Macaca mulatta: one gene and its partners. The protein of the gene in region 2 binds, or shares a complex with, the protein of the main gene of each other region. Links are inferred from orthologs where the notes say so. Each region holds a gene or a part of one and is shown on either strand. Other genes may lie near its edges. The genes, in order: AEBP2, JARID2 and EED.

Evidence for each region.
Region 1: the proteins of JARID2 (region 2) and AEBP2 are in contact, whole or in part, in a cryo-EM structure (PDB 8VNZ), measured with the Homo sapiens proteins. The link is inferred for Macaca mulatta from reciprocal best matches to the Homo sapiens genes JARID2 and AEBP2. Residues at the interface, in NP_004964.2 of Homo sapiens: Ser148, Lys151, Pro152, Lys153, Thr154, Glu155, Asp156, Leu158, Thr159; in NP_001107648.1 of Homo sapiens: Arg407, Ala410, Ile411, Asn414, Leu415, Glu420, Ser421.
Region 3: the proteins of JARID2 (region 2) and EED are in contact, whole or in part, in a cryo-EM structure (PDB 6C23), measured with the Homo sapiens proteins. The link is inferred for Macaca mulatta from reciprocal best matches to the Homo sapiens genes JARID2 and EED. Residues at the interface, in NP_004964.2 of Homo sapiens: Pro109, Gln114, Arg115, Lys116, Phe117; in NP_003788.2 of Homo sapiens: Pro95, Phe97, Tyr148, Arg306, Asn307, Tyr308, Cys324, Asp362, Ile363, Trp364, Tyr365, Arg414, Asp430.

What each region holds. Positions count from the first base shown.
Region 1 is NC_133416.1:21,905,476-21,909,569, reverse strand, and holds the start of AEBP2 (zinc finger protein AEBP2), read right to left. Parts: upstream 2,860-4,094; 5' UTR 2,650-2,859; coding exon 1,982-2,649; exon of another isoform or gene 1,650-1,981; coding exon of another isoform or gene 1,627-1,649; intron 1-1,626. UniProt on the Homo sapiens protein: Acts as an accessory subunit for the core Polycomb repressive complex 2 (PRC2), which mediates histone H3K27 (H3K27me3) trimethylation on chromatin leading to transcriptional repression of the affected target gene.
Region 2 is NC_133409.1:167,623,695-167,627,344, forward strand, and holds part of JARID2 (protein Jumonji), read right to left. Parts: intron 2,593-3,650; coding exon 1,554-2,592; intron 1-1,553.
Region 3 is NC_133419.1:86,871,658-86,874,221, reverse strand, and holds part of EED (polycomb protein EED), read right to left. Parts: intron 238-2,564; coding exon 79-237; exon of another isoform or gene 1-78. UniProt on the Homo sapiens protein: Polycomb group (PcG) protein. Component of the PRC2/EED-EZH2 complex, which methylates 'Lys-9' and 'Lys-27' of histone H3, leading to transcriptional repression of the affected target gene.

The DNA of each region.
Region 1 (4,094 bases), on a different chromosome or scaffold from region 2:
CACTGCAACCTCTGCCTCCCGGGTTCAAGCGATTCTCCTGCCTCAGCCTCCCGAGTAGCTGGGACCACAGACGCATGCCACCACTCTCGGATAATTTTTGTATTTTTAACGTAGGTAAGGTTTCACTGTGTTGGCCAGGCTGATCTCAAACTCCCGACTCAGGTGATCCGCCCACCTCGGCCTCCCAAAGTGCCAGGGTTACAGGCGTGAGCCACCGCGCCCGGCCTCCACTTATTTAAGGTGAATTATTCTAACTCTTAAGTGGAAGTAACAGGGGACTTGAGAACCTTTGTTCATATGCAGCCCACCATTTCCATGCTGTATTTACTGTCCTGAGTAAGACACTCAACTTGCTGCTTCATCTGTTAAACCGAAGTCAAAATAATACCTATCTTGCACCAAAGTTGTGGGAAAGAAATGGAAGACATCGAATTTGTACAGTGGTAGGCAAGTATACGTGTATACTGGGTAAATGAAAAACGCTGATTTTATAAACTAATGTCAACTTTCAGATATGTAATGGTACTAGAGGAGAATAAAATGGTAAAAATAGCACATGCTTCATTGTGCAGTTTACATCAATTTTTAATTTTCTTGAAGACATTCTCCTTCCTACTCATGCCTACACAGTTCAACACAATTTTCCTAAGGTTTGTACAGTCTACTTTACCCCAAGATACTTTCTTAACTAGACGTTAATGTCAAACAGAATCTAATGCTAGATTTTCAAAATCTCCAGGACTCTGTCTTACTTGTAGCATTAAATACTAAGGTGTTCGTTTTTAATCAATTAATCGGAATTCCTAGAACTTCAGAATATTAAACTCTTAAATGAAAATCACTACCGACCACTAAATTTTCCATTGCTATACTTTTCTGGGGAGCATGTTTAAAAAAAAAAATCTTACTGATTGTCAAAACATAGGCAGATGGTCAAAATAAATGCTAATACACTTTAGAAGTGGCATAATACGCATGATGTGATTCTCGTTTTTTTAAAAGTACACTAAAAACCAACCCAAACAGACCAAAAGTAATGACAGGACAACTGAAACATATACTATCACACTTTTTAAATGTTCTGAAAAAATGCGCATTTTTGTCACTCTCCAGTTACTTCTAACAAGCTTTAGTCAGAAAAATAATACTCATTCCTTCCGAGACCTCTCCAATATATGACTTTAAATATTATCATGTAAAATCATGACTCTCACATTGAAGCATTACTATAAAGCCGCAAACTACGTTGCACCTTCCAGACTGTATTTTCTTACGATTCCAACTCTCTGATTCCGCAAAGTTATCTTAAAAGGCCATCAATTCACTATTCTTTTCCACAACCATTTATACGTGTTTAAAACTTTTTCCCAGATATGCTCCCAAAACAGAAAAGATTGTTAAAATCACGTTGGAGACCACATGACTGACTACAAATGAAGGATTTGGAAAGCAATGATTTAATACAAAAGAACAATCCTTTTTTGTTTAAGTAGAGAAAAGTGATAGCTGGGGTCTCCCCCCTGGACAAGGAAGTTCTGTTAAATCCAGGCGAGACCAGCCATATTGGAAACACTTGTCAATTATAGTTCTGACAAGTGTTCCCGAACACGGTTGGATGAAGCTAACCTTGAGTACCGACGTGTGTACATCAAGGCCCTCTTCTGCTCCGCCAGAGGATCTGGGCCCGTTTGGGGACTGTTTCCGAGTTAGAGCCGTCCTGAGGTCCGTGAGGAGCGAAGCGCCGAGGGGAAAGAGGGCGGGGAAAGGAGAGTTGGGGGGGAACGGTTTGAGTTGGAAGCCGCGATGCGCTGCGAGAGGGGCGCGGCGGCGGCGGCGAGAGATTTCCGAGTTGAGAGCCTGGGGGAGGGGCCGAGGATTCGGGGAGCAGGGGGATCGCGGCAAAAAGTCGCCTTGGTCCCCCTTTGAGGGGCTCGGGAGTTCAAGAGGAGGAAGGGAAAGGGAAACGCTTCAGAGCACTGACCTGTCCTCCGAGTCCATGCGGCTCAGGGGTTCCCCATCCGACGACATCTCCAAGCTGCCTCGCCGGCCCCCGGAGGTCGCGCTGCTTCCGCCTCCCCCAGTCCCGTAGCCCTCGTCGCCGCCGCTGGAGACGACGCTGCTGCTACTGCTGCCGCCCCCGCCGCCGCCCTGGCTGCCCCGCGGTCCCTTGGGCTCCTCCAGGCCCTCCTTGCCGTCCCCATCCCCGCTGCTGCTGCTGGCGGCGCCGGGGCTCAGCGACCGGGTCTCATCACTGCTGCTCCCGCCGCTGCTGCCCACCAGGCTCTCGGCGCTACTCTCCTCCTCACCCCCGCCGCTGCTGCTGCTCTCATCTTCCTCCTCCTCGTCGTCGTCCTCCTCGTCTTCGTCCTCCCCGGCCTGGCTGGCGCTCTCAGGGCTCGGCTCCGACATCGTCTCCGCCTCGCCGCCCCCCACTCCGCCGCCGCCTCCGCCGCCCCCACCGCTGCCGCCGTTCAGCAGCAGCGCCGCCACCGCCTCTGCCTCTGCCTCCTCTTCCTCCTCCTCCTCTTCCTCCTCCTCCTCGGGGGGCTCAGCCCGGCCCCGCGCCGCCGAACCCGGGCTGCCGGGGGGCAGAGGGCTCAGGCGGGAGAGCTCCTCCAGGTCGGCCATGTCGGTGATAGCGGCGGCCATGGCGGCGCCTGCTCCTCCTCCTCCTCCTCCCTGCCGCCGCCGCCGCCTCCCTCTCTCGACTCTCGCTCTCTCGCCCCCCTCCCAAACGCCCAAAACTCCTCCGACGCCGCTGCAGAGCAGGAGGAGGGCCCGCGAGCTGCGTCAGCCTGCACACGCGCTACGGAGCCCGCGCGGGGACAGGCGCGCGACTACGCGCACTCACACGGAGACGGCTGCGCGCCTGCGCGGCGGCACGAGGCGGCACCTCAGCCGGCTGCGAGTTCTGCGCCCGCGCCCCCGCCCGGAGCCCGCCCCGCTGCCCCGCGCCCGCCCCCGCCCCCGCCCGGCCCCGGCAAGTGCTCAGCGTTTCCTCGGGGCCTTCCCACGCCGTGCTGGGCTTCGAAGCCCAGGGACACGCGGACTGAAAACTCCAACGCTGGCCGGGGATTTTAGCAGCCTTCCGAGTTCTCACGATAAACTCATTCATTCCGGGGGTGTTTGGGGAGTGTCCCCTCTGTACAGGCGCTGAGCCAGGAATAGAACGAGCCTACAGTCTACGAAGAGAGCCGTTTAAAATGGGCAAAAAACACTAGGGTGTAAGGTACTAAATTTATATGCGCAACATAGGGCGACAGGTTTTAATACACCCTATGTTTGAATACCCCTGGGGATGTTGACATCCTGAACCCAGAGCAAACATCTTGGTTCAAGGTCCTCAAACTTTTTAGTTCATGAGCCTTCGAAAACAATTTTGTAAAGCCGTGTATGTTCTTAAACAGTTTAAAATGACAGCTATATTTCTTCCGGCTTATAAATATTTCATCTGTCGCATTTTTTAAAGACTCTATAGCCAATGGATTCTAAATACCGTAGGGATTTAATACCCACTAATATCCATTTTTTAAAAATGCAGTTTGGAAAATACAATTTCCAAACATTGTCTTCTGGAACTCATTGACGTTCCATATCCCTTCTAGAATTTTATCCTAATAATATATTTTATATTTGAACTCTATTTTGGTTGTCTTACCACATTTCCTTGTAATAAAAATGTGTACATAAATTGAAGTATCTGGGTTGTTTTTTACATTTTCTGTGATCATAAAGCTCTTATTTCAACTGATCAAAACACATCTATTTCAAATGTTTGTAAGTACTAAACACAAAAGCAAAATTTTATTGGCAGTGCATCTTGCAGAAATGAACTTGGGTGGACTTTTTTCTAATATACATTATGACCTTCAATGGATGGATTTTTTTGAGAAACAGTTCAGCATCAGTTCTATTCCAAGTTTTCAATTACATGGATGTAAGTATTGAGAAAATTTGTTCGCATAAAAAAGCAGATGAGAATGAATGGAGTTTTGTTATAGTAATGCCACACAATTCTTTGAATGCCTTTCAAATTATATGCCCAAAAATCGCATAAAGATCTAACAAAGAAAAAATACTTTTAATGATCTGTC
Region 2 (3,650 bases):
GGTAAAGAAAAACCTACTCTAAACAAAAGGGGCTGTCGCTACAATGTCAAGTGTGCTCTCGAGGCTCCATGATCCACCTAGCAGAGTAGGGAAACTCAGAATGTTTCCCTCCTGTCTGCAGGTCTCCAAAAGCAGGAGGACTCAGTGCGGTTCCATCACTGACTCAGTCACCATGTCCCAAGCAGTCACGGGACGTGGTCAGCAGGCGTGGGTGCACGCGTGTGCAAAGTCTGCTCCCTGCACTGCTGCCTGTCACGTGCCATTCCCAACAGCAGAGCACAAACCAACAACTCCTGCAAGTTAAGGTGACTGTTACTCAGGCATCAGCCCTAGCAGGCACCTGCTGAGGGGAACCACTGAACCTCCATCCTGCCTGGAAGCCTATCTTGCTGCCAAATCCCTGACGCTTAAATGATGGCTACATGTCTCCATGCCTTTGAAAATTCAGGATCTCCAAAATGGAGGTGTGGCCTGTTTCCTCCCATGGGTCTAGACTAATGGGGGTTGCAACCTTACCTGGATGCACCTCACTGCACAGAACCCACTTAGCCTTAACAGGGCAGGTTCATTCTCGCCCTGTGTCCCCAGTGCCAGGACTCAAGAGAGGATGACAGGGAAGGAGAGCTACAGGGGAACCCAAGAGGAGTCTCTGCCTGCAGCCCACCCCGAGGAGCAAGGGTCTACATGACAGCCCAAATATGCATTCGCTAAGGATCCACTGTGACAAGTCTGCAACAGCCCCAGCCAGAGCTGCACCTGGTCTCAGAAAAAATGTCAACAGATCCCCTGACCTGTGGCCTTGACAACATCGCCAGAGAAACTGAAGCTCAAGGAAAAACAAAGAAGAAGAAGAGACAAGGCTGAGCAGGATAAAAAATGTCCTGCAGGACCCTAGAGGGCTATGGGCTGCATGGTGCACCCTCCAAATTCATATGTTGAAGCCCTGACCCCCAGTACCTCAGGACATGAATGAATTTGGAGACAGGGTCTTCAAAGGGGTAATTATGTTAGAATGAGGTCAGTAGGATGGGCCCTAATCCAAAGACACAGACACACACAGAGGTAGGACCCTGTGAGGACACAGGGAGAAAACAGCCATCCACAAGCCAAGGAGGAAGGCCCTGGGAGAAACCAACCCTGCCGGCCCCTAGACCTTGGGCTTCCAGCCTCCAGAACTGTGAGGAAGGTCTGTTGTAAGTTCAACAGTCAGTGGCGCTTTGCAGTGGCAGTCTAGCAGAATCCAGAGGGGCAGCGTTCCCCACTGACCCCCTGGCCCCTGCTCTGACTCCAGCAGTTGTGGGTAGAAGTTGACAGCCCAGGGGATGCAAGGGGCCCACCCCAGATCCAAGCTCAATACCATTCTTGTCCTGCCACCAACGCCCAGGACCTGGGAAGAAGGGCTGCAGGGGGAATGAGCTGAGAAGCCCACTACTCCCGAGACAGGGGAGCCGAACTGGAGCTTCTGCAAGGGAAGAGAACGTGAAGACTGTGAGGGAACTGCAGGGATCTGGGGCAGGCAGGGACACTCCCCCCACCCCCTAGCCCAGACCTACCTATGAGCGGGAGCTCGTCCATGGTGATGCCCTGAGATTTGAGGTGCTTCTTGATGCAGGCCAGCCGCTGCACGTTGGGGCCCCAGCGCCGGCCCAGCTTGTGGATGTGCTGAATCTGCGTGACAAACCGCATCTCATCGTTGAGCTTGCACTCGGGCCGCCAGTCTGGAGGGGGGATCACCCTGCACATCCCGAACTTCTCCACCTGAGCGCGGACCGACTCGATGTAGATGAGCGGGTCGTGGAACTCCTTGGCGGAGGGCCTAAGGACGGGGATCTCGTCCATGGCCGCCCACCCGGCCTTGCCGCCGCCCTTCTCGGCCTTGCCCGAGTCCTGCGGCTTGTGCACGGACTCCGGTTGCGAGGTAGAACGATTTTCACAGGAGGCGCCGTCCGCCTTGCCATGTGCTTGTCTGCCTGGCGTGCTCTTCCCGGCTGTGGCCCGCTTCGGCCGATTCCTCTCCAGACTGCGCTCCGGCACTTCCTTCTTCACGTGTCCATTCAGCAGACCTTTCTCGGCCGGGGCCTTCTTACCAGGGCCTTCTGCGGGGCCAGCCGCCCCTTTCATCTTCTTGGGGGGCGACTGTGGCTTCTCCGCCTGGTGTGCCTCTTCCAGTCTCCTCTTGGAGTTCCGCAGCCCCTCCCGCAGCTGCAGGCCCTCCCGCAGCTGCCGCCCCCCAACCTCCTTAGTGCATGACTTTGGGTTCAACCTGCCACTGACCTTGAGGCCATTGACGGCGGGCCCGGTGGACTTGGACGCCCCCCCGAGGGATAGCACCTGTTTGCGGGTTTTTGCATTGCTACTTTCAGTTTTCCCTGAGATTGTGTGGTTGACAGCGGAACTGGGCTTGTGGTGATTGGGTTTGGTGTCCTTGACCAGTTCTCTCTTGGCTTTGGTGTATGTGACAGCCCCCTTCGTCACCGTGGCAGTGTACTTCACAGTTTTGGATGGTGAAGGTCTGACCTCGCGCATCTTTTTGGCACTGGTTGCACCCGCACCCAGAGATGACATTCGAGTGACTCCATTTACCTTAGAAACCTGTGGAGCAGCAGAAGCAGAGGCGGAAAAAAATGCAGAATTAGTACCTGCCACGAAAACGACGGGCCCACCCGTGAGAAAGGGCCCTGGGTGCTGGGGATGAACAGAACACCAGCAGCCTGTTTGTGATAAGAAGAGATGTGGAAATGCCAGCAAAGAGAAGCAAAATACACATCCAAGAATTAAGCAGCGATGTCCACTTTCGGAATCCACTATACACCTATCCTTCTTCACAAAAGTATGCAGCCTGCCCCAAGCACTTCCTAGCCGGGTTTCCTGTGTGTATTTTCACGTTCTCATGGCTCTTCCAGGAAATCTGGTGTTTCACAATGAAGACCTCCCCACGTGCCAGACAATCACCTGTCCTGAGCTTCTAAGAGTTGATGACAGCAAGATCCTGCTTCCTTGGGGGAAGTGGAGACAGACACACACACACATCCCTGTTCCAAGAAAAGTCATGTCTGCTATTTCTGTGCTCCACATAGCAGCACGACCTGCCCACAGGATTTAGAAATCTATGTGGCTAAAAAAAGAAGGAAAACAAAAATACTATGGAAGGAAAAGAACAGCAGTGCCCATGTGGTTTGGCTCCGGGTGGCAGGCCGGGCCCAGAGGTGTGGCTGCAAACTGTCAGCAGCTGCCGTCTGCTTTCCTTGTGGAGACAAGCCCTGGACAGGAACAGGCTGGATGGAAGAGGGATGCCCCGACCTCACTGGTGAGCAACACATGCCAACCCTCATCTGCACACGTGCTTCCTATATTTTCCCAACCTTTACAAACTTTCCCACATATTTTCCCACCCTGGACAAACTTTCCATTGGGTTCTATGGGACCTGGGCAAACAGAGGCAGTCTTACAGCTTGGACGCCACGGTAATCCTGGGACACACAAATGTCACAGAAAATGGGGAGCGACAATGGCAGACACCATAAATGCACAGGCTTCAAACAAGAATGATGAAGGGACCCCAATGGGCTGCTGCCGGACATGCTGGTTTTGAGGAGATGTCTTCTCCGTGTCACGATGTAGCCACTGACCCACCACTTAACAACTTGGGC
Region 3 (2,564 bases), on a different chromosome or scaffold from region 2:
GGACACAACAGAAAAAGCTAGAATTACAATGGTCTTTCATAAGTCAGATCATTTCAAAATGTAAAAGTACGTTGATACCTTTTGCCAGAAATCCATAGAAAACCTCATGTACCAAATGTCACACTGGCTGTAATCAAATCGCCCAAGAATAGTCACATTAGACTCACTGGGTTTAATTTTATCTATATCATCTTCCATCTTGCCAGGTTTCCAGCACACAATGGCATTTTCACAAGACTAAAACAGAGAGAGAAATGAGAAAAAGAAATGTTAATGTGGAACTGAATCTTATAAAGTAAAAACAAGGCTTTTCTATTGTTTTGGAATTCACAGCTCTTAGAACCTGGTTAATCCTTCTATCAAGTACAGTGATGTACATTCATTTATATTTATACTCAATGCCCATACTTAAGGACAAGAAATCTGATTATCAACAGAATTTGATAATACAAAAGAATCACATTTTCTGAAATATTCATTTTGGAAGTCAACATTTCTCTTCCAAGTTAAACCAAGTTCAGCTCTAGATACTCTGACACCCAGAGACTTGTTTTATAGCAAAGGTATAATTACAAACATACAGAATTAGAATACATGGCTTTTCATAATCCGGCATTAATCTGGCTCTTGCTTACTTCACTAGTTTGCAGTTTCCCATTTCAATTCTAATCACAGGTGGTTTCCTTTACCTTATTAACTATTATTCCTTCATCCAGTATCTGTGCCACACAGTAGATACTCAACAGGTATCTTAGGAAATTTGATGAACTCACATAAATGGCCTTAGAACTCAGGTTATAAATAGGGCAATTGAAGGCAAGTAAAGCAGTTGTTTAACATCAAGACACTGATATGGGGACAGGATTGAAATAGGCTTCAAACTTATACTTTTCCTATCCTATAAAATCAAATTTGTATGCACACACCTAAGCAGTAAGTAGTAAAGAATACAATGAGAAAAAATTGCAAAACTGTGGGCACTATTCATATTACTATCTAGGTCAGTAGCTTGCCCACTAAGGGACATTTGGCAATGTGTCTGTGCTCTAATGAGTAGAGGCCAGAGATGCTACTAAACATCTTATAATGCACAGGAAACCCCCTTCAAAAAAGGAATTATCTGGCCTAAACTAAATAGCACCAGGATTCAGAAATCCTCGTGTAAGTGAACAGTGCCCCTAGAATTTTACTGGACAGCCTACATAATATAGTCACAGGTGGCAGCCCTGTGGGGTTCACAGGCATTTAAATAATTTAATAGTATGGCCACTTGAAGATTAGGGAGGAGACAACACATTCTTTTTTCTTCTCTACCTTTTTTATTTAGACTTTTTAAATCCTAGTGCTATATGACATCTGTTATTCAAGTTTTTAACTGTAAAGGACCTTAGAAACCACCTAGTGTGATGACTCTTGGCTAAATGCAAAATTTGATCAATAGTCTATGGAGTTTTCTCGAAAGACTCATCTCAGCCCCTACTGATTCAGTCTCTAAGAGAAAGGCCAAAGCAGAAGAACTATAAAAAAGCTCTTCAAGTGCTTCTTACTAACTGCACCGGTAAAGAATTTTTAAGTACTGGAGTCCCTAGATGGAACAACTAAAGCAAAGTGAGGTAAAAAGATGTTGCCAGAGCTAATGGATGGCTGCACTTCAAAATCATGTACTAAGAGCTTTTTAGAACTACCAATTCCCAGGGCCTTGTGCCAGATTTAGAATTTCTTAAGGTGAGGTCTAGGAAATCTATTTTTCTAACATTCTCCTAGTGATTCCAATGCAGAGTCAGATTTGAGACCACCAATATATTCCAGTTCAGCCTACCACCTAAAATTCAGAAATCCTTTCCAGAGATCTAAGTTCTAAGAGCAGAAATTTAAAAAACCTAATGGCTTTTTACTTCTGCTGCTGGAACAATAGAGCAGATGTATTTTTTCCTATCCGTCTGCTTAAAAGTCTGAGTATCATACACAAAGCAAACATAAGACTTGGAAAGGTAGAGAAAAGGCAAGCAAGTTAGAAACCTTGGAACATAACGATAACTGTTGAGTTTCCTGGGTTTTCTTTTGCCTTATGTATACCAGACTGGATGCGAGAGAAGGCAGCAACTCAGAAATGCTAATGAGTGAAGACAACAAAAACAACAACAACAAAAGCCTACCCTTTCTAGCCAAGGAACCAAAAAATGTAGCAGCCTAACAAGACAAAATTTTCAGATGACAATGCTCTACTCCAGCCAAACACCCTAGAAAAATCTGTGGACCCATCTCCACTTGAACCAGCAAAAGCCCAGTGAAAAACCCATGCTCAGGTTGTAACTAAGCACCCCAAGTGCCTATCCCATGACTCTCCCCATACCTCTTATAGCAATGGGGTGACCCTCCTCCTCTCGGGCTAGGCTGGTATCAGAGGAGGCCTAATCGAGTTAGGACATTCATAGCCACTCACTGGTAAAGCCACCAACTACCCACAGTGTCAATGGAGACCACTAGGGGGGCAGTAATTAGGCATCCTGGCCCTTCCCAGCTAGAGTGGTATCAGCTGAGGCCTACGGAGAGCCTTAACTCCC